3 linked regions of the Coturnix japonica genome follow. The protein of the gene in region 2 interacts with the protein of the main gene of each other region in a pairwise test. Links are inferred from orthologs where the notes say so. Each region holds a gene or a part of one and is shown on either strand. Other genes may lie near its edges. The genes, in order: BNIP2, KLC1 and MAPK8IP3.

Region 1 (7,962 bases), on a different chromosome or scaffold from region 2:
ACAGGAGATGGCCACGTTTTCCTCTGCTTACACTGAAGTGTATATTGAAGTATAAGCTGTAGGGGGCACTAGAACTGCTTAACAGTATTTTTATGAAAAAGACAGGTGCCAGAGATGCGCTGCTTTTATTCTTCCACATTATTTGTAAGTCCTTCCATTTTCAACTGAAGTGAAGCCTGGAATTACTGTTGTCTGAGGATGCAGTAGTTAGCAAACACCATGTGGATAGCAATGTACGTGGTATGGGCCACCTGCAGATACAGAAAGCTCATTTAAATACTAACGAAGAATATCAGAACCTTCTGTGAATAGCATAACCATTATCCCCTCCCACTGTGGTATTAATGTTTGTATCCTACAAACTGAGATGCTCTTCGATATGAATAATACGTTACAAAAACCTGAATCACAAACAAATGGACAGACTCAATTTAAGTAAAGATAATAGTTGCATCTTCAAAATGGTCTGGGGTTTGTCTTGGCTGTTATGAAAGTTGCACATTCTTTATATTGCTGTGCTTCCCTTGCTAAATTACAAACACAGAATGTTCACCTAGACCCAGTTTCTGTCCTGGCTGCTAATCAACAAGGAACTTGCTCAGATATAGGAAAGGGCAAATCAGCCGACGTGGGAGGTGCAATTCTGACTATGAAGAATGAGTCCTGTACAGCACAGTGGGTTCTACCTGAAGTAGCTGAAAGAGGTTTGGGATACACTGTATTGGGGTATAGAAGGACCATGAAGAGGACAGGATCACTTTCTGCTCAGTATTTTACCCCATGATATACCGAGAGGATTAAACTACCACAACTAGCTGGCTGTGATAACAGATTACAGTTGTATACGTGGCTTTAAACACGATGATGATGCACCCTACAGGAATACCAAAAGAATATCAGAATACTGTATGCTATTTTGTTCCTGTCCACAAACTTGGGAATCATCACTAAATAATATGTTGCTCTTGTAATTGTGTAGCACAGGAGCCTAAGACAAAAGTGAAAAAGGCTGGAGAAAAAATGCTTGTATGCTTTACAGGGAAATGGCTGGGAGGAGCGACGAGCAGATGCAGGTGCTGTGTCCAAACTCACAGACACAGAATTTCAAACAAATAGTTTCAAATCCCAACATTCCTGATTGCTTGAACCCGTTGAAAGATGGTATTTGTCACCTAGGGGTTGTTGTTTATTTTGGAATTAATAGATGATGTTTTGCTTAATAAGCAAAATAGGAAAGAACCATGAAAATGTGAATGTTTCTGCATTGTGTAGTTTTAGATTATTATTATTTTCTTTTGATGGGTTAATTGTGAATTATTTCAGACCTGAAGTTATGCAGCAGTTGATTTTTCCCACATACAGGACAAAATTAACATGACAGAGTGTTATTCTTAGAAGCCTGCTCTCTTTGGTAAAGCTTTCATGTGAGAATCTGCTTATATTTGCAGTTGTCTGATGTTTGGAAACAGAATTATTCAACACCTCCAAGTAGTTCTCTCTGACCCCTTGTTTGCTTGTTTTCTAGGTTACCCAGGAGCACCAGAAAGATTTCCAGCCACCTTGTGCCACCCCGTGTAAGAAATGGGAAATTGCACAGCTCTGCTCACCATGGTGACCTGGGTAGTGGTCCTGCAGATGGCAATGGGTGCAACGTGAAGGCAGTTCTGAGTTTATCAGCAACCAAATGGTATTTAGAAAAGCTAAAACACTATTTTTAATGAAACATATATATATAAATATATATATTTCTTAAAATGTGAACTTTAAACCTTTTGATGTAACACGTAATAGTAGCCCTTTTTATCTTGCAGGTCTGATGGAGGATAAGGAAGGTTGCCACACACCCCCTCCATCATAAGTCCAGCTGTTCACAAACACTGCACCAGCAGACGGAGATCCCTATCCACTCAATCCTAAATAGCTCAGCATATCAAATACCTGTACACAGATTGTACAGAACTCCTGTAATCAGATCTGCACTATTAAAAACCGGGATCCTACGGGCATGAGGTGTCTGTTCCAAGGTGCGTACAGCAGTAATGGTAAGTTTGGTGTGCAGCCAGGAAAATGCCATGTCCTGAAGCACTGAATAGTGCTGTTTCATCACCTTCTGTGGCTGTTACCTCCACAAACAAATAAATGGTGACAATGGAGGTGGGAGAATAAAATACTGTTTTCCTTTTGCTGTTCCCACTTCCTGTTTTATTGTGTTTCTCATGCCAGCAGCCTCATACTTCTTTATATTTAAGCTGGCTCCTGCTTTGTGTTTATTACCTGATAAGCCGATTTTGCAGTAACGCCTACAGGCTGTTTGCTGTGAATTATACTAATTCCTTATAAATATTCTAATAAATTTACCTTAATTGCTTTATTTCCCGTTATCCTTAGATATCATCTTTGTTGGGGGGGGGGGGGGGGGGAAGGTAGGGGGTGAATGTCTCTACCATCTATTCTTCTTTAGCAATATATTCTCATACAGTATTTTTCTCCATTCATTAAATCACTTATTTATTCTTCCCACCCTTCTTCTGCACGTGTCTCACGTTCCAGCTGTACCTGGGCTCAAACATTGGTGCATCGTTGCCTTGTGGACAACCTTTGTGCTGTGAGGAGCAGCAATTCAGGTTGGTCTCTGCCTGACTGCAGTCATGTGAGTGGCAGCAGTTGTGTGCAGTGGAGTTTGCTGGCACACACACAGATATGTGTGTTCATGTTCCAGCAGAACCACTGTTGCAGAGATCAGCTTGTGATGAAAATATGAAGTTTGCCCCTTAGCTTCATGAATTTTGTGCATTCAAACACTGTGTTCCTGCTGTTCCAAAGCACTGTGTCCCAGCGGGGTGGATCACAGGGCTGTTCTCAGGCGGCACTCTGCACCTCAGGCATCTCCATCTCCTCATGGTGACATCTCCATCTCCTTCTGGTGACATCTCCATCTCCTCAACTGCTGTCTTTACCGCTGCCAAAGGATGGTGAACTCGGCTTTGTGTGCACTCCACCTGTACATGTAAGTTCGGTGGCGCTGCCAGGCATTTGCCGGAGCTTCGTGCCCCTCTTGGTCCGTTCCGACCCGCCTCATTCCGTCACTCTGTGGAGAGCTTCGCACCTCCAACGCTCTTTCACGCGCGAGCATCAAGTGCGCATGCGCAGCCACAGGAGGGAGTTGCGCGGAGCTGCTTTGACGCATGCGCACGAGCGCTCCAATCCTTGCGGGGCGCGGCGGTCACATGAGGTGGGCGGTGTGCGCGCTTCCGGGACTGCGCGGAGTGGCGGGTCGGGCAGGGCGGCACAGCGCAGCGGTTCGGCCGCCGTCAGCTCCGAACTGACCCGCAGTGTGAGTGCGGCCAGGTACCGCACGGGGGGGGTCGGGGAGGGGGTGGCGAGTCGGGATGTTGAGCTGTGGGAGGCGGCGTGGGGCCGCGGCTGAGCACAGGCGGGGTCAGGTCAGCACCGTGGGCCTCGCCGGGAGCGCTGCGTTGTGGGGCGCGGCTCCTCCAGCTGAGGAGCGGGATGGTGATGGGCGCGTGTTTCCTGTATTGGGGGGCGGCTGCTGTGGTGCCTGGGCAGGAATAGGGCTGTGCTGAGCATTGTAACAGTGACACGGTGCGGAGCTGTTGGAGTCGGGCCTCTGAGTTGGCTTGTTCCTTACATTCGGCTGTCAGTGCGCCGTACTGCGCAGTGTCCGATCGGTTTGGTTAAGTTTGCAGCCTTTCAATACCTGAAGGGAAGTTACACCCAGGAGGGGAGTAAACTCTTCGTAAGGGCTGACAATAGCAGGACTAGGGGAAATGGTTTTAAGTTAAAAGAGGGAAGATTTAGGTTGGATGTTAGGGGGAAGTTCTTCACTAGGAGAGTGGTTAGGCCCTGGAACAGGCTGCCCAGGGAGGTTGTGGATGCCCCGTCCTTGGAGGTGTTCAAGGCCAGGTTGGACGGGGCCCTGGGTAACCTGATCTAGTAAAGGTGTATGTTTGGTGGCCCTGCCAGGCAGGGGGGTTGGAACTACATGATCCTTGAGGTCCCTTCCAACCCGGGTCATTCTGTGATTCTGTGAAGTCGGTTCTCAGCAAGTAATGCTGCTTGCTGTTCGATCGGGTGTAAGTGCTGTTGGTGTGTCTGACAGTTCAGCTCATTGCCCTGCGAGGCCAGAATCCTGCGTTCCTACACTGCTCTGAGTGCTCGGGGCATGAGCCTGCAGCTCTCCTGCTTTACCGAGTGATTTCTGTGTGCTTGCTGCGGAAAGGCAGACGAGCCGTGCTATTAGCAGAGCCCTGTGCCTGCCTCCTTGTGCTGACTTGCAGGTGACGTGACTGGGATGTCTGTCCTTGTGTATCTTGGGAAATGTTTTTCAGGCTTGCAGTGAGCGTGGCTTTGTTCTCAAAGCCAGTGGGGTTATGGAAATAGTTAGAAATTACAGGGAGCTTTGCAATATGAATCCGTGTGCAAGGAAATTATATATATGTATTCTTCTGGCGTGCTTTGAAATTAAAAACTGCTCTTGGAGGCACCTCTTTAATGCCCGGCATGTGGGATTCCATTTGATCTTTCTCATGAAATGGTGAAGGGGAAACATAGGAAAACAGCAGCATAACATTTTTTAGCTCTCTGGGACTGCAGCATTGTGTGTGCTGCTGTGTGTGTCGGGGCGCAGCTCAGCACTGTGCTCCTCACTACAGGTGTCTTGCAGCATAAACTCTATTCGTTCTACTACAAATGCTGTAACCCTCATGTCCTTATCGGGGACCCAATATGACGGGCCTTTGTAATGGATATATAGATGTGGTCAGGCAAATTCTTATCTCCTGTTGGTGTTCTGTGGAGAATTCAAAGGTGAAAGGAAACGTGTAAAAAATAATAATAATAAGGCCACTCAAATGTGCAACAGGCCTTTTTCAAAGGTAAATTTTATGCATTCTGTTGTCTTTTTTTCTTTAAGTGTCAGAACACTTTAGAGTACACACATAACTGTAAACCACACCAAACAATGGCAGTTCATGGTCTTCTCAACCATGCTGTATGTGTACCATACATGTACCCAGACCAAGCCCGCTCTGTGTTGGTGAGAACTGAGCACCTGCTCTTTCCAGGAAAAGGATGAGAACACCCATGTTAAGCTTGTGGTGCAAGCAGTAACACACCTCAGCTAAGTATTTACATGGGTTTAACCTGCGGGTCTGCACTGAGGTCCTTTCATTAGCTGTAGCAGCGAAGTGATTGCAGTGATGTGGTGCCTTGTGTTAGTTCTGTGCTGTTTGTAGTGCTCTGACTTCCTTAGGAGTGTAACAGCAGTGAAGCCCAGGGTTTGCATGAAGAGAGCAGAACCACGTGGCAGTCCTGCAGCTGGGTGTTCTCCGTGTGACCTGATGTATCTCCCAGTCTTCTCATTCCATTTCTGTACATTACATGGAGAGAAACAGCAAGCAGATCTGCTGTTCTGAGAAGCTGTGAGTTGTCTGCGAGGAGTGCGAGTGCCAGTCAGAAATTAATTGCTTCTCTTCTATGTGACTAGTAAAGACTTGCATTATTAGTGTTATACTTTCAAGTTTAACATTTACATGTTTCATTTACAGTTGATTTTAAAAGACTTGGGTGAAGTAAAAAAGAAAAGCCACTGCTGCCACAGCAGCCATAGGAAAACAGTTCTAAACTCTGCTTTAGCTTGTATGAACAGATGAACTTCATTCGTACTTTGTAAGCACAGGTATTATGATACAGGGTCATTCGTTAACTATCCAGGAACTCTGCACTTCTCTGACTTCCCTGAAATTGAAGATTACTTTGCTCAGCATTCATCGTGTGTGGTGATAAAGCTGTTAGGGCAGAATTCAGCCTCGGAGTCTTGGGGGAACAGGAATGTGAACACAGTGCGGGCATACATAAAAGTGGTGCCTTAAAGCCAGCCATGCCATGACTGTGTTGGTTTTTGTCTTTCCTTCTGCTGTCATCTTTCTTCCTTTTATAATCTGCCCTTAAGAGTGGAATAACCAGTTGAGATTTCCTTTTAGGTTTATTCTGTTTTTAGGGAGCTGTGTCTTTGCATCAGATGGTTCATTCCATACTGACTGTAAATGCCATGTTTTCTTCATTTGACCACGTGGGATATCTTGTGCTTCATCTCAGTGTCCCAAAACAAATGTAACAGAGTGCTATGTACAAATTAATTGTTCCTGCTGATCAAAATAGGACTTCATCCCCAAGCAAATTCTTTCAATTCATTATTGCAAACACTCAGCAGGTCAGAACGCAGGAAGAGCTTCATACCAAGGGTGTCAACATCGTAATGAGAGAGGGCGTGTTTTGTGAGGAAGGTGGTATGATTCAAGCAGCAAGAAAACATTCCAGACAACGCATTAGTCAAAATGGACAGATAGGAAGAGGGAGCATTGGGAGGACCCTGACTGGGGACACCTTCTTGGAGGTTGTATGGGCACGTATTGCCCACGGCTGAGCTGGTGGGGGCTGAACAACTCAAAGAAGGAAAGGCTTCTGCTAAGGGGGATCAGATTGCTACCTTCTGGAAGTTTTAGTTTTGTTTCCTGGGTGTGGGAGGAAGGAAAGGTCAGTAAAATAAAGCAGTAATGACAAATTCAAGCCTAATTGTTTCTGGTAATGCAGTTTTAACAATGAAAAACTTTTAAATTTTTACATTATGCAGCTTGTTTAGCATAGCCTTAGCACTGCAGGTCTTTTGAGAATCTGTCTGTGGTTATTATTGGATCTGGAGAAGAGAAAGTGACATTTTCCACAGTAGTTGCTTCTACTGAACAGTAAGCATGGCTTGTTTCTTTTTATCCATGTAAGAGTAAACTATCTCTCTAGCTTAATTAGTAGTGTGATTGTATTCCAACATTGTACTTACTGGGTTTTACCTTAATTGCTTCTTTGCATTTAAAAATACGATTCAATTTCCTGTTTTGATTAGTACTGCTTTTCCTATCGTTGATAAGTTTACCTGTTTCTGTCAATCTTAAGAGCCAACACAGCCAGGATTTTCAACTGGATTGGATTTGGATGTTAGCAGAATGGTTTATTATGTTCTGTTGTTGGCAATTCCCTGTTGCTGGTGATGGGTGAGCCTGAAAAAACGCAGCTCTGCTTGCACATCTCAGGGTAAGTTTTCTTTCTTTTTATTGGAGTCTTTATTGTTTGTTTAAGAACTGAGTTGTATTTTAGACCTGACCATCTGGTTTGGTGTTTTCCCCAGAATATACCTTTATTCAGTATCTCTCATATAATTTAAAGGTTTTGTTTTTTCATACACCGTGGAGTGAACTGGTGTAATCCCAAATGAAAGGTCAGGTTACTCTGAGCTTTGGTTATAACCTAAAGATTGAGCAGAGTGTTGGATTAGATGATTTGAAGAAACCCCTTTGAACCTAAATTATTATGCCAGTTTTGTTATTATAAGCAGCTTATTATAAATAGTTTTGCATTTGGAAAAAAAAAAAAAAAGTGGGGATGGGGTGGGGTTGGAGGGGATGAATTGGCAACTGTTCCCTGTTTTTTCCACACAATATCTCAGCTTGGTGGTAAGTGATGGGATGCAGTGTTGTAATACTGAACTGTATCTTTTTATGTTCCTCTAGCTGCTCATTAGCCTGCTGTCCAGAAGACGAGAGGTTCTGGCTGATCAGGAGTAACTATTAACAGTTCAAGTTGGCTGGAGAATGGAAGGTGTTGAGTTTAAGGAAGAATGGCAAGATGAAGATTTTCCAAGGTTTTAAACTTTTTGTAAATAAAAATCAAATACAGAACATCCAAAATAAGCTGTCCCTATTTTCCTGATAAGCTAGTACTTGATCTTGCAGTGATTTCCACTGACATAGTGACCTTGAGAGGCTTTTGTGCCTTGTTTCTTTGTGTCCTGGAAGGCGATAGCTTTATGTTGATTTGTAATAGAAGATTGCCCGTACTGAAATTACTGATGTTACCAAAATGAAAGTGTAAGTTCAGCCTTGTTTTCTT
Region 2 (8,218 bases):
TACAGTCGCATCATTGGCAGGAAAATTGTGTATCAGTTAATAGCATTCATCTGATTAACTTGGTTAGCTGAGGTTCTTATGTGTTTTGCTTTGTGTTCTTTAAAACAGAATGTTTTGAAGCTAACTGAATGATCTTCTTAAACCTTCAGTATTTTGGGGTTTTTTTCAATAGCACTACTCTGTAATAGTGATGATATGAAAAGAAGTCTGGGTAGCAAAATGTTAATGTCCTCGGCAAGCATCCTGCTCTCTTTAAAACAAAACCTAGAAGAAATTAACTACTGAAATGGCCTGTTAGAGCTGGATTACACCACACGCTTTGTTTCCTTGTTATTTCACTCTGGATAGAGAATGACGGGGGGAAACATGCTGGCTTTCATTTGTTACAGCTTCCCATTAATCCTTGTGACTGAAAAAGGAGAATTCGCTTCCATGTAAATTAAGCTTATTGACTTTGGAAGCAGGATTGTGATCAGTGTTTATTTTACTTAGTACTTTAATGCCATGCCCAACAGTGGGTTTCCTATGGCACGTTCAGGCATCTTGACCATGACAATGAGTCATGTCGAACAAAATACAGTCCTTTTATTCCCAAGTGCCTGAACTCCATGCTAACAAGGTAGCTCTGCATGCAGTAATTTGCAGATCTGTACAAAGGAGCTAGACTAATGCTGTCTGCAACTGAGCACTTGACACTTTTGGTCTTAAGCCCTGATTTTTATGTTTCCTGTTCTTCATAAAGGACATTCTTGTAGGAAATATAATATAAAACATATGCAACTGTCAAGTGATAGTGATGAAAAGCCAGACAGGTTGCTGAATCTGGCCTTTCAGTATTTGTTATTACCAGGATGCTTTTAAACAGCACTTTAGCAGCAACTGAAATTATTCCAGTGGAATGCTTTATGGTAGCCCATATTTATAGAATGAAGTCATAGATTTTAAAGACTGTAAGTTTAGACTTAAAAACTGTTGTCTCTTTTGGCAGAAAGAGCAGGAGGATATAATGACATTGGTAAAATAAAGTGAGCTACACTTCATAAATGAAGTGAACCTGAACTTCTTTGCAGAGGCTTGCTCTAATTGTGGATGTCAGTCAAATTGAATCATGATTTGCTGTGTGTATTTCTCACACTTGCACCTCAAAATGTAAGAGCTTTTTCTGCTGCATGAGCTGAACTGTTTGATTTGCCCCCTCCCAATGCAAATTCCTAACTATTTTATGGGAGAGGAGGAAAATGGGTATGTTGAGAATAAAGAATTCAGCGTTATAAATAACATATTTGGGGGTTTTACTTTAATACCCACTTGGATGACTGCAGAAAACCACAGTGACCTTGTTGGACAAAGAATATTTTAGAGGCAGTATGTCTAGGTCACTTCATCCTAAAAACAGGGCACACAGTGTAACTAGTTCTCTAGGACAAGATGGAAATGTGGGCAGCAAACAGCTTTTCTACTGGAAGAATGCAGTTAGCTTATGGAGAATGGACAAGAAAAGCAAGATCCAGCTGGGGAGAACTGACGTTTTGGGTCAAGAAAAAGCTTGAGGAAGAAGCAAATCTCTTGTGTCTGCTTCTCCTCCACTGTGTGCCATAACCAGAGGTAAGCAATACTGCACATTAGTTCCATTGCAATAAGCAGCCTTGCTACACGACACAGCTTGTAGTGTGTGCTGCTTGTGTGGGAAACTGCAAGCATGCATATACATCATTAGGCAGCGTATTATGAATCAGGGTCAAAGCTGGAGTAGGTGCTTTGTTCAAGAGATACTCATTTCCCTGGGGTGAGCAGCTAATTGCAGGAAATCTTTGAAAGCAAATGTGTGATAGGAAGAAAGCAATGAATATTGTTTATTCAAAAGATAGGAGGGGTTCCTTTGAATCTGTTCTCTTGCATAATCATGTAATTAGGGCAAGTTCTATTTTTAATTAAATCTCTTGCATATTCATGAAAATTCTCTGAACTTGTGGACCAGCTGACATAACTCTTCATTTTAAAAACGTGTATAAAGGAATGGTTATTCATTTTTTGCCCTTTCTTATTACTTTCAGACACCTACTTCCCACCATTACACTCAGTTGGCCAGGCCACTGCCCAGACTTCCCTGTCAATACTACAGTGCCCTTTTCCAACCCCACAGGGACTCTCTGCTTGTGCATTCTGCAGCCCCATTTGTTTTGCTGGGCTTCTCTAACTACAGCACCAGTTGTGACTCCTTCTTCCATCTCCGCTTTAGAGTCCTGCCATTCTGTAGAGCCCATTGATGTTTTCTTTGAGGACAAACAGATGTCAGCACAGCTTTCCTTGTGTCTCTCAGAATTCACCACGTAGGTGAGGCCGCACACTCTGATTCACCGCTACATCTCCATATTTCTATAAGCTTATGATTCATATCTATATGTAATATGTACTGCAGGAGCTGCGCGGCGTTCAGATGATAATGCACCATAGTATTGTCTAGACATTAATAACACTTTATAGTTAGGCTGTCATCATTCCCCGATGACTCCCTACACGCATAGCAGTGCACTGTCATATTTAACTGTATTTTTCATCCTAGAACTCCCGTTTCTTCCACCATCATCACAGAATCACACAGAATCACAGAATGACCCGGATTGGAAGGGACCTCAAGGATCATGTAGTTCCAATCCCCCTGCCTGGCAGGGCCACCAAACATACACCTTTACTAGATCAGGTTGCTCAGGAGACCCCATAGATCCCCACAGAGACCCCATAGATCCCCATAGATCCCCCATAGATCAGGTTGCCCAGGGCCCCGTCCAACCTGGCCTTGAACACCTCCAAGGACGGGGCATCCACAACCTCCCTGGGCAGCCTGTTCCAGGGCCTAACCACTCTTCTAGTAAAGAACTTCCCCCTAACATCCAACCTAAATCTTCCCTCTTTTAACTTAAAACCATTTCCCCTAGTCCTGCTATTATCAGCCCTTTCCAAGAGTTCACTCCCCTCCTGGGAGTAAGTTCCCTTCAGGTACTGAAAGGCTGCAATGAGGTCACCCCGCAACCTTCTCTTCTCCAGGCTGAACAAACCCAACTCCCTCAGCCTGTCCTCATAGGGGAGGTGCTCCAGCCCCCTGAACATGTACCCAGTGGAGCACAGAGAAAACGGCCACCATTGTACTTTATGAAATGAAACGTGAAGCTACAAAGACACATTTCCTGCTCTCCCGCCGCAGGCCGGCAGCCATGACATCATACAGGGAGGGGAAGCGGCGGGAAAGGAGGGCGCGCGTGGGCTGCTGGGAGAGGGGAGGGCGGCCGCCATGTTGGGCGGGGCGGGCCGGGCGGAGCGCCGGGCGGGGCCGGGCGGGGCGCGGCGGTAGCGGCCGGGGCGGCGGCTGCGTGCAGCTGTCAGCGCCCGCTCCTCGGGGGCCGGGTCGGGCCCGTCGGCTCCTTACAGGTAAAGCCGAAGACACGGCGGTGCCCGCTGTCTTCCTTTCATCGAAATCCTTTTCCTTCCTTCCGCCCGTCGCTGACATCCTCCTCCGGCCTCCCCGGGCTGCGCGGCCCCCGCCGGCTCAGCGAGCGCTGCGCACATCCGAGCCTGCAGCACCGAGCGGTGAGCGGGGCACGGCGGGGCGGGGAGGGTCGGGGCTTTTCGGTTCCATCTTCGCCTTCCTCCTCCATCCCGGTTCTCAGACAACAAAAGGCTGCTCCCCGCTGACAGCTCCGCCGGTCGCGCTTTGTCCCCCCCGCGGGGCTGCGGCCGGCACCGCCCAGGGGGAGAGCGGGCCGGGCTGAGGGCAAGGCGTGAAATGGTGGAACGGAGGGAGGAAGAATGAAGGGAGGAAGGCGGGGACGGCGCTGATCGTGACCGAGCGGTGCAGGTCACCGTGATATGCCCCCTTCGGCATCCTTGTCTACAGTGAGGTAAATGGTGAGGGGAGAAATAACGCCGGTGCCTGACCGACCTCACTGGTACTGTCCTTTGGGCAGAGGTGAATTAGGAAGGTGCTTTATCCTTCTGGCTTGCTGCTGTTTTGGGTAGAGAGATGTCAGGTTGGTACAGCCGCACAGCGCTTGTGCGTAAGCACCGCGCCTCCTCCCTGTGTGCTGAGCTGAGCTGAGCTGAGAGAAGCCCGTTGTGATGGCCAGGGCAGCAGCACCCAGATGGACACACACTGCTGGGAGCCTGCTCCATCCATCAGGTGCTTCTGCGCTTTGTTTTTTTTATCCCCCATTAAAGATTTCCTTTGTTATATCCTCCGTCCTCATTGTAACAGCAGCATTCGAGTACAGAATCAGAAAGCAAAAGGAGCTGGGGGGGGGGGGGGGGAGGAAAAAAAGTGAAAGTTTGTTCTTATGCTCCACTTTAAACAGCAGAACGATGTCATTGGTAATAGAAGTTATTTTTTAGAGTCTTACATAAAAACGCCTGGGACGATGATACTTAAAATGTTCTTTTCGTGTTGCAAATGGCAGAAGGTTTGGTAACAATTAGTCTGGGAAGTAATTGTCTGTTTCACTTCCCCTTTTGTGTTTGTACTTCTCTGAAATAGGAAACATGCCCAAAGGGTGTGCATTGGAAAGCTGGAAAGGAACCTTCGAGATTTACACAGCATTTCAATATACAAAAATCAAATGAAATCAAATATCAGATCAAATCCAAACCTTCTTGAATTTGGGATTGATTTCAAACCGCTCTGGGAAATGACATGATTTTAATTGATTCTGAATTCCAAAGCTTCAGCGAAACGTGATAGAGGATATTATAACCCCGGGATTATAGAGACAATTGAAAGAAACACATTCAGCGTTTAGTGGAAGCAGAGAGGAAACTGATCTCTGTGCTGGTTCGGAGCAGGCCTCATGTTTTGAAAGGTGTTGCTGTGATTTAATTTTCTTTGTGGTTTAAGACAATATTTTTGTGACATATCCATGGATGTAGAAAACTCCAGTTCCAATTAGGTAAGAACTTAATGCCGAACCAGGTGGCAAAGTGCAGGGAACTGAAATGGTGAGTTCCCGAAGTCACACAACAATGCGGTATCACTTCTGCATCGTGTTGCAGTGAAGTTTGGCAGCATTTCTGTTCCTGATGGGTGGTGATGGAAGTGGGCACCTCCATTAATCTCACATTCTGACAGCAGTGTAAGTCTGGGCTCCGTTCATTTTCGAATCAAAGAAAACACGCTATTGTAAGTAATTTTAAAAGAAAATAAAGTTGTCCCCTGAATGTATATTATAAAGTTGCTTTGTTTGCTGCTCACTGCATTATTGGGATGTACCAACGATGCCTTATGAATGGAAACTAATCTTAAAAAGCCTTTGCTCAACAAAAGAATAGTGCACAGAATAGTGAATGAAATTTGTGGCAGTCTACTAAATGTTTTGACATACAATAATCAAAATGCTGTTCGAGGGAGGCGTAAGGGGTATAAAAGCAATTGCTGCTTGCTCTGTTGATGAAGAACGTACCATAACGAAGTCAGAAAGCCCTCACTTGTGTGCTACCCATAGGCTGTGTACATTTAAACACAGGGAGAGATCAGCGTATCTACGTGTGCATAAAGACATACCTACCTATGTCCCTTAATTAGGAGCCTGGGGAAATGCTGAACCCTCATGCTCTGTGCTGAGTCCACATAATGCAGCTTCTGTTTCTCTTGAGACATGTGGGCTGTGCAGATACTCTTTCATTTCTTACTCTGCTCGGTATCTCTGGAAGACGTGTAAGTAGATTTATGCTGGTATTAGCAGCTTCTTTCCAGATGCTTAGCTCATAATTATTTTAAGACTCAATGAAGTGTACAAATAACTTTTAAAGTACTGTTATTCTGTGATTCTGTTTTCATAAAGGGAGTGAAAAAATGAGTATGGGTACATTCATGACGATTCAATATGTATTTTTGCATTTAATGTTGAACCGTGTGGTAGCAAACAAAGATGAAGGTGAGAGTTTATTTAAAGGAACCTTTTGCTGTCCGTGTGCCTCAGGGTACAGTTCAGCATGACACATCTGCCATAAAGCTGGGATCTGACCAATTCCATCATCATTGCAATAGAAGTGGCTACATAGAAGCGTTTATTGTAGCATAATCTGCATAATATTTTATACTTTCAAAGTATTTTTTCATCTATGAAAACACAGTATTTACCTTGACCAAAGTTTAGGGAAAAAACACATATTTCTTTTAGATGTTAACTGTTGTTTTCCTTAAGACAAAATCATTGGGCATGCAGTGTATGATGTATATACTTCCTGGTAGCCAAGTACTAGTGGAAGGCAAACGGCTTATTTTAAAAGAAGTATTTTGGCCTCAAAATAGAGGCAGTTATATCCTGAGTCATGCTCAGCTTGAGGTAGTGAGGCTCTCCCGGTCGTTTCTTTAGTGGAACGTTTTCTGTCTAATAGCAGGTTGTAGAAATAAATGTGGTTCCTTTGAAAGAATACTTACCCAGTCACCACAGTCAATAAACACCAGACCAGGAAGCTTGAACTCATGCTGAGATGCATTTGTTGCTTTGACTTAAGGGATTTGAGCCGGGCACTTTGTAAGAGGGCAAGAGCCAGAATTACAGGTCCTTTCAGTGATGTAGGAATCATTTCCACAGGGTTGTGTTTGAGGTGCTTTGACAGATAACGCTGGGCTTGTTTTGGAAAATGTTTTTTGTAGCAGACAGTTAATATAATGCGTAATGACAGGCCGTGGCAGATAGGCAGGCATGAGCACCTAAATATATTTGGGTGCATGAACAAAGAACTGGTGTTCAAAGGACAAACACTGAAGCACAGTTGATGCTTATTTTCTTCATACAATATAAAATTAGCATATCTAATCTCTGACACTGGATAGTTTCTTCAGATTGAGTCAGCTAAGAAGGCAGATGCAAGTAATAGTATCTGTCTGTTGATTTAATCATGGTTTGATTCTCTGAATCCAGCTTATCTCCCTTGGGTTCTGCTGTTCAGCTCTTTTCAGTGCCCTCAGAAGCAATCTTTACCCTGAAAGCTGCTTTGACCTGCAGGTGGAATTAAATCAAATTTATTTTTTTCAGATAATTATTATTGCTCTTTTTTTCCTTCCTGGTTTCTTTTCTCTCTCTAAATTAGGAGTCATGTCATCTTCTATTCTGCGTATGCTTTCCCCATGTTTTCTACTTAAACACAGATTTTTTTTTGCATGGTTTCTCAGTATCGTGTCTTAATCACAGTAAAAAGAACCAAACTAATAGATCTTAGTCAAATTACCTTAAAACTGAGCGTTTTCCTATTTTGATTCTTAATAAATATCTGCTATAAAACCCATTAATCATTTTAAGTTGGTGTTTCAGTGCTTCCATCAGAGCCATAGCTGACTTTATTATATTCCAAAGTGAATGGAGTAAAGGATGTAACCAGTCTGGTCAGTTATACAGCTTCCTTATAGCTGGGTAGGGTGGGGTGGTGGCTCACTACAACCTAATCACTCTGTGAGCATAACCCTGTATTTATTTGCACGCACCCCAGAAAACCATTAGAAAAGTTAACGATGCACTAATTAACATTGAGAAGGTTGAGAAGTGTCAGATGTTTTTTTCTTTCTGACATATATTATTTTCTGACAGTTAATATCTGCTTTGCTTACAATATATTTTGTGTATATCCCAGGAATCAAAGTTGTATCTAAAAATCAGTCCGTTTAAATGACAATACTTACCACGTCAGAATGATCAGATAACAGGCTGTATATCAGGATATCGTAGTTCTGGGTATTTTGTATACATAGGCTCTATTTTGTACACATATACTGATTAACTCTTCTTTGCATCCTGTGCTGCCATCCCTCTTAGCAGTACATTACTGCTAATGTTCATGGAGTTCTAATACTGTGCTTTACCTACAAGTAGGTAAATACTAACAAAATATGAAGGGCACTTGCAGCCTGATGGGAGAAGGAGGTGTGTTTTATGTTGGGGGGGAGGAGGGGAGGGTCCCCTTTTCTTCTTTCCTGCATAGCATATTGTGTTTAAGATGGAGTGTTTCTGTGGATGTTCTTTATCAGTGTCTCGCTGTATCATGTTGGAAAGCCACAGCTGTATCCTCTGGCTTGTGCAGCTTCCTTCAGAGAGGCAGCTGTTACTCCTTTGTCACTCAACTCTGTTGGCTTTAACATGTCATTTGTTCACGTTGTTAAATCAGATGCGTCCCCCAAGTGTTTTGAGAGAGAAGCAGCATTATTTGCTCACGGCGCAGTGTGTAGGTGGATTAG
Region 3 (7,453 bases), on a different chromosome or scaffold from region 2:
TTACACCCCTCCCCTTTCCCCCCCATTTCCCGTATGAGGCGCTAATTCCACACAAATGATCTCCAAACTATGGTCCATGGAAATCTGTGTGCTCTGAAAACCCAGGGAAAATAGAACTAGAACCACCACCAAACTGAAGGCCCTACCCAGGGAATATTGCCATTAAGGTGCTTTGGTCATCTACAAGAGGCTTTGAGAACTGTCAGTAGTCCGTTGGTCCATAGTTTGGAAACCAAAGTTTTAGCAAAAAACATTTAGCAGCAAATTCAGTGACAAGCAGCAGAGAGCAGAAGATAATGTTATCTCTCCCCTCTAGAGGGTTAGGCAGAAGGCATTCTGTTAGTAGGCGCTGATAAAGGCACAGGGCACACGAAACTGAACAACCTTCTCCATGGTGAGAAAATTTGGCTTCCCAATGAAGGCAAACATGGCTGCAGCATTTCACAAACACAACCTGAGAATTTTCCTATCTACCTACATTCTAAGCAGAGTAATTTCACCTCCATTAAGTCGGGAGTATTAGGCTAGAAATGACCTTAGTTCTATACTTTTTCTTTTTTTCAGAGGACAACTCCCTCACTCTGGTGTGCTTTGTTTCTGACTACAGTGCACTTTGCTGAAACTCAGCCTAAACACGAAGACAACACCCGAGTCTTCTCTGCCTTCACTCTGTAACAGGCAGTACTGGCTTACATGAAAGTAAAAAGGAGGAAAACAACGCTGCAAGATTGGAGCTGACAGAACAGTGAAAAGAAGGCAGTTGTGGCTGTAAAACCTGAATTTCACTGCACAAAGTCCTCTTGGTTTACAGCTGCACTGCCAACATGAAACTAGCTCTTCTGGGGAAGCCTGAGTGCCACTATGTCCTGTGAGAGAGCACACCTCACACTACGCTGCCTGGCATTCAAAACTGAGGAAAACCAGGAAAAATGGAAAGGCGCTGAGCTGGGCACCACTCTAACACTGGGGTTTTAAAACCACACTGACTGCATTGTCCCTCTGTCAGCTGCTGGTCTTTGCCAAACTACAGTTTGCAAGTTATATGCAAAGGTAATTGCATGACAGCAACATGCAATCTACCAGCTTTGCTTTCATCATTACCAAAGAAATGCTCAAGAAACATTTAGATGTTGCACTAAGGGACGTGGTTCAGTGGGGAAATGGTGGTGGTAGGTGGGCGGATGGACTGGGTGATCTTGGAGGTCTTTTCCAACCTTGGTGACTCTACGGAAGACAGATCGGTCTGCATCTCAAGAACCTTATATCAAGTATTACAGACTAAGTATATAAACCCCCTTTCCCCACAGGCATTTTAGTAATGTAATATACCAATTCTGTACAGAGATAGCTGCTTACATCCTCCACCTCTTCTTTGGGTTCTCGTCGGGCAACAATCGCTTCAGATTTCACTCTAGGAAACAGGAAGAAAAGCATCAAACCAGCAGCTGATACTGTGACTGCAGCTGGGGGGAGCATGAGGGGACTCTGGGGGAGATCTGGTTGCATCAGAAAGAAACCATTTTCCATCTGCAAGTGACACAAACCAATTATGAGGTGCTTCTGCGCTACTCTTCCTCACTCTTGCAGCATGTTTCTGACATCATCCCCTCCCTTTGGAACACATAATTTAAGCACCAGGCCCCAAAATACAGACCACTGGGACAGATCTGCTTCAGAGCCACAATTTCTATTCAGATGTTTGTCAAGATCTTAACCACATAAAAATTGAGCCATTATCAGCAACTACTGCTGGCTGAAGTTCTTCTGGGCTGTCTCTCTTTCCAATGCAGTAAAAAAGCCTTTAATATATGAAGGGCAGTTTGCCATCACAGCAAAGAAATGAACCCCAAATACATGTAAATACAAATTTAAAAGGATTTATCTGAATGCTTTTAGTTTACTTAAGCCTTGTACCGAGGGTCAGTCCCATTCGAATCACATGTACTTCTATGAGCAAGGAAAAAAAATGCCATCTTTATCTCCTAGTAAAGCACCCTGGACAGTTGAAAGTCCTCATCCATGCTGCATATTTATGTATTACATAACATTCTAAGAGACTCAAAAAGACAATTAAAAAAAAATAAAAAATCAGGTCTACTTCCACTGGCTCATGAGATCCCTTCACTTCAGACACTGCAAACACTGAAGGAACCCGACTGTGTTGTGGTTAGAGACTGTGCTCAGCAATTTCAAAAGAATGGAGGCAACCTTCCAGATTCAGGATGCAAAACAAACACCCCCCTCTGAATGTGAGTGCCACAGCACAGCTGGTACAGCTACTTAAAATGCAGTTATGCAGCCTGGAGACCAATGGGGCCTGCGTAGCTTTATGGAAGAGAAAAATTCCCAGGCTTTGTAGGCATTCAGGTTCAGGTTTCTCTATTTTGAGTGGAAAATAAGAAATGGGATTTGCCCAAATGCCACCCGCAAGGAGCTCCACACTCTCTTCTCCCTTTTCTTGTTCTTAATGTGAACAACAAGACAATTAACAATACTGACATCTAAATGCTGTTTGTGAGGAGCTGCACTCATCCTTTCATTAAATGAATGGGCATTCATGCCTCTCTGCATGATCTCGGCCACCAACAGCATCAATCTGCTGACAGTTTTCTTCAAAACCACTGTTTCAGAAATTCCTTCGTTATTTGTTTGTTTTTAAGTACGAACTGAAATGCTGAAAGCTTCACTCTGGGCAGCCCAGATTTGCAATCATTGTGATGGAACCTGAATATTAGGGAGGAAAATTCTGTAGGTTTTCTAAGGTTCAATAGTTCATTTCAGACTAAGAAAAACAATTTAAGAACACCAGAAATATCTCAGCCATGTACTATCAGCCCCGAAAGCTACCTCTGAACTCCAACATTAATGTCCATGAATGAAGTGCAGAAAAGCTGACCGGCACAGGTTTCTCTCTGAGGCTGTGAGTTCATCACTCAGGTTCTCCCAGCTCCCTGACACAGCATTGAAATCACTCACCTTTTCAGCTCTTCCTCCAGCTCCTTGACTCTGGTTTCCATTTTGGCTTTGGCTTGCTTCGTTGCCTCAAGCTCTCCCTTCAGCACTTCTTGTTCTCCAGACAACTGGTCCACCTTGGCAATCAGATCATTCTTCACAACGTTCAAAGCATTTCTTAAAGGTGTGAAAGGCACAATAAGCAAAAATGGCCCAAACCATAAGCTGTCCATAAGAGAGACCTGAAACTAAACTCACAGGCACTACAAGGAGAGTTGAAATGAGCACACTGAAATAAGTCAGGCTATAAGTCATGAAAAAGCACATCTTGACAATGAAGAGCTATGGCAGAACACAGCTGGTCACAACAAGGTCTGTGCAGTTCTGCATTCCGACTGACAGACCAACCTCAGGTGCTTCAAGGCAACCTGACAGCTGTACAAAATGAAAACCTATTTTAAGAGGATTAAGAACTGAAACATAAGAACCTGTACTCTGAACCTCTCAGAATCTGTATTATTTGTAGTTGCTGACAACTGGAGATGGTGGTGACATAATTCGGTATTTCCAATCAGTTCCAAAGTATCTTAAAATCTTTAAAATGAGCACCTTCCCATCACACCCAGTTCCATTAGGAAAATTGCTCAGGAGAGGATTTTCTCATCTACATTTCAAAGCATAACAAGTGTTCAAGAGAGCCTGCCAGATACACCAGAAAGCCACAGTGAGGCTGGAGTTCTAGCCACAACCTTCTTTGTGATGGTACCTCACTTATATAACCAGGCACACAACAGTTTCTTACTTGGTCTCCAGTAGCTGTGAGTTCTCCAACAGCAGATTGCCAACTTCTTTGCCCATTCCTGAAAAAAACAAAAAAAAAAGGTCAAGCAGTTTTCATCTGTTTCATCTGACTCATGCTTGGGAAAGAGAAATCATTTTTGTTAGGCTTCCCTACAGCCAGCTTCATCCACTTTAAAGGCTTCCTATTACCAGCCTTCCACTGTGGCAATATGAAAAGGACTTCAGATCGTCCAATGCTCGACTATTCACCTTGAGCAGTTCTCTCACAGGGATTCACAGTTTGAAGTCTCAGGCCCATGACTTAAGGACCACTCCCAAAAGAGCAGATCAGACATACTGCACATTGGGCAAGAATGCACAGAGGAGAGGCTGCAGCACACAGGTCAGGCTGCAAAACTCTGTAAGATTTGGAGCTAAGTGTAGAGACTGAATTTAGTAAAAACGAACTGAAAGGAATTTAGGACCAAAACCACAAGTGGAGCGCTCCCTGCTGCCGGGGACCTGCAGGATCCCAGGATCTGCTTCTATTTTACACATAGATACAGAGGCTACCTGTTGTTTTAAGGGACAGTGCTGAGTGCTGCAGCTTGCTTCTCAATACAAGCCCCGGGGCACAAAAAGGCATCACAACCATCAGTGTTTGTGCTGTAGTGTTCCTCATCCTGCCCTCTGAACTACCTTATCCCTTTACAGCAAAGGCATCAATATTTTCCACAATTGTTATTTGCTGATTAATATTCACAATGAAATAAAACCAAAATAAACTGTAAGTTAATGGAAGTTAGAGAAACATGACAGCATACAAGAAGTGAGAACGTATCACAACACTCCAACAAAACAAATCCTCTTCCCACAGTTAGATGGCATGAAGTTATGATGGCAAAAGCAAATTCCCAGCAGGAAGGAATAAGAAGCAGCATTTCAAGTTGTTCTTTGGTTCCTTTTTCAATCGGTAGAAAGAGAATCAATCACTTTGATGTTTCAGGCAGGTTTCTCAGTGTGTCAAGGAATACTGCAAACAAAAACCAAAGTGTACTTCTGGCTGGGTAAGGATGAGCTATAACCCTTTTCTCCCACAGCACATGCACTGTTTCTAAAATCCAGAGGTCACACAATACAGACACGTGTTTATTAAATATTTCTCTGGTTCCTTTCGGATGATTCTACAAATGATCAAATAAATATTTAACAAGTGAGGCATTAAAATGGCACTAAGATGATATTAAAAAAGACACTGTGAGTGCTGGCATCCTCGTGCTTGGTTTTTTTGTTGGCGGTGGGACGGTCAATAACAGTTTTCCTTCTCATCCCTGAGTAAGGTGAGTCTGCCTCTGGGAGAGAAAGGAACTCTGGTACAGAGGGTCAGTTGTTACCCCAGAACTACCTAATTAGTGTGTGACCCAGCCCCAGCCTGATGCTTTAACCAGTGGGAGGTCTGAAGGGCCGGTCTTGCAATGAAGAAATGGATGACGCCATCCTGCAGCCATAGAGTGAGACACTATGAGATAATCTCACACAAGCTGTAATGACAAAGCCCCACTCATGGAGATAGAAAAAAAGTGACTAAAAGGAAAATTCTTTACTCCTTACGGTGTGGGACAAAGGAGAGAGCCACACATCACTGTGCACCTCCCACAGCCAGGCAAATAGTATGAAGCATCAAAGTGGATAATCAAGGGAAGGAAAATCCCCAAATCACAACTGTGGACCAGCTGCATCCTGCTTCTTGGAGAGGTGAGACCACCATCACAAAAAGGAAAAGCAAAACATAAACCCACAAACCAATGTAATGCAAGACACATGGAGGGGATATTGAGTGAATGGAAGAAATTGTAAAAGAAAAAAAGAAGCGTGGTTAAAAGAGGAAAAAAAAGAAAGAAAAAAAGAAAAAAGGCCTTGGCCTTACCAAAGAAATCATCCCGTACTATGAGAGCCATCCCACACGAGAAAGGGAACAGAAAGATAGGGGGACAAAGGGGGAAAAAGGAAGAGAAAAAAGCAGCCATTAAGTACCAATCTGTAAATAGCAAACAGAGCAGCTCATCAGCATGTGTAAACGCATGTGGTGCCAGTATAGGTGATGCTCAGCATAAACTAACATACACCTTGTTCAGCTGCAGCCTGGCCTGGTAGGGATTTATGCCTGAGAGTTCAGGACAAGCTGAAGACGAGTTCATCTTTTTCTTCCACCTTCATCACTTACCCTGGACTAAATATCTCTGTGCATTCCAACCCCACCACAATGGCAAGTCAACAGACATGATGAACAGGGTGAAGGAAGGGCAGGAGAAAAAACAAAACGGGAGGGATATCAGAGCTGTTATCTGGCCTTCCCTGCACAGATCCAAATCCACTTTGCTACTGAGATAAATTCCAGTGCCACTTCAGAGGGGGAGTCTCTGAGAAAAGACCACCCAAAAATGGCCTACAGTGACAGCCCAAACAATCTGAACTAAGAGAGAAGATGATGCCGTTCCTTCCTCCCTTTTGTGACCTTACAGACCCAACATCAGGAGGTTCCGTGCAGAGGAATGTGACAGAGCTCAGCACTGCACAATTATGCCACAGATTTTGTACCGTATCAGCCCAAGTCGCCTGTCCTTATTACAGGTGAAACTTCATCCAGTTTGCACTGAAATCAACAGCGATTTCCTTGATTTCATCTAATTATTTTTTTTATCAGTACCCAAATGCATTTTACAGAGAGGTGAAAATTCTGCAATTTAGGCCTGCTGACCTTCGTATGGGACAAAAGGCAACAGAGGCGGCACTTCAAACTCCTACTGAAAAGACAAAACAAACAAAAAAAGGCCTGTGGTTCTGCCACTCTCTTCCCTACAGAAAAGTCTTTCTTTTCACTGCAGCTGTGGGTCAGGATGCATTAAGAAACTCATAGTGAGCATCATGCAAGCAGAGGGACTCCTCACAGTCTTGTTTACTTGAAGAACAGGAGTGAACTATGTAAATCCTGTGCTCAGCTGAGCTCAGCGCAGAGCACAGCGCCTGCCCTAAAACGAGGCACTTTGCACCCCAAAGCAAAGGAAAGGCACAGCGTGGTTTTCTCAAGACCTTGAGACGGGCCAGTGTCAAAACCTGCAGAAAGCTACACAAAAAGCGGATCAAAACACAGCAGACACGTGAACACCAAGCAGGAATAGCCTCCTGCCCAGGAACCCGCCAGTGCAAGGAACCAAGCAAGGCAAAGGTGGGAGAAAGTCAGCAAAGCCAACCGTGATTGGACAAGAGCAGGGGAGTATCACACGTGTATACCATATCATTGAGTCTCAACGAGGTAAAAACAAACAAGAAAGGAAACTGAGCAGAGCAGAGATACACACCTGAGAACTCCCCTATGGGCCATGTCCAGCGAAGCACAGAGAGACAAGGGAAAAAAGGAAGTGAAAAAAAGGATCGATCAGTGACTGAAACCAACAAAACTAAAATTTTGTTTCAAAAAAAAAAGAATTAACAATGATTCAGCCATTTCAGTGTCAAAAGGCATGAAATAGTAAGGACGGGAACTGCCACGACTCTACATACAGGACAAAAAAACCAAGGAGAGGGAACCCCTGTTAGAACTGCAGCCACACGCCTCAGCCACCCCCAGCCTTCCAGACACGAGTCTCAGACAGTCGCATCTCAGCCTGGATAAACCTTTCTTTTCTCAGTCACACAGCACTAAGCGCAGAACGGCCAGTTT

The links.
Region 1: the proteins of KLC1 (region 2) and BNIP2 interact in binary tests that used the Homo sapiens proteins (3 or more experiments, as listed by UniProt). The two-hybrid records come from large-scale screens. The link is inferred for Coturnix japonica from reciprocal best matches to the Homo sapiens genes KLC1 and BNIP2.
Region 3: the proteins of KLC1 (region 2) and MAPK8IP3 interact in binary tests that used the Homo sapiens proteins (3 or more experiments, as listed by UniProt). The link is inferred for Coturnix japonica from reciprocal best matches to the Homo sapiens genes KLC1 and MAPK8IP3.

The regions. Positions count from the first base shown.
Region 1 is NC_029525.1:4,455,282-4,463,243, forward strand, and holds the start of BNIP2 (BCL2/adenovirus E1B 19 kDa protein-interacting protein 2), read left to right. Parts: upstream 1-3,210; 5' UTR 3,211-3,334; exon of another isoform or gene 3,335-3,348; intron 3,349-6,969; 5' UTR 6,970-7,107; intron 7,108-7,583; 5' UTR 7,584-7,664; coding exon 7,665-7,714; intron 7,715-7,962.
Region 2 is NC_029520.1:45,860,968-45,869,185, forward strand, and holds the start of KLC1 (kinesin light chain 1), read left to right. Parts: upstream 1-3,336; 5' UTR 3,337-3,585; intron 3,586-8,218. UniProt on the Homo sapiens protein: Kinesin is a microtubule-associated force-producing protein that may play a role in organelle transport. The light chain may function in coupling of cargo to the heavy chain or in the modulation of its ATPase activity.
Region 3 is NC_029529.1:12,375,742-12,383,194, reverse strand, and holds part of MAPK8IP3 (C-Jun-amino-terminal kinase-interacting protein 3), read right to left. Parts: intron 7,104-7,453; 5' UTR 7,092-7,103; intron 3,813-7,091; 5' UTR 3,811-3,812; coding exon 3,755-3,810; intron 3,130-3,754; coding exon 2,977-3,129; intron 1,412-2,976; coding exon 1,357-1,411; intron 1-1,356.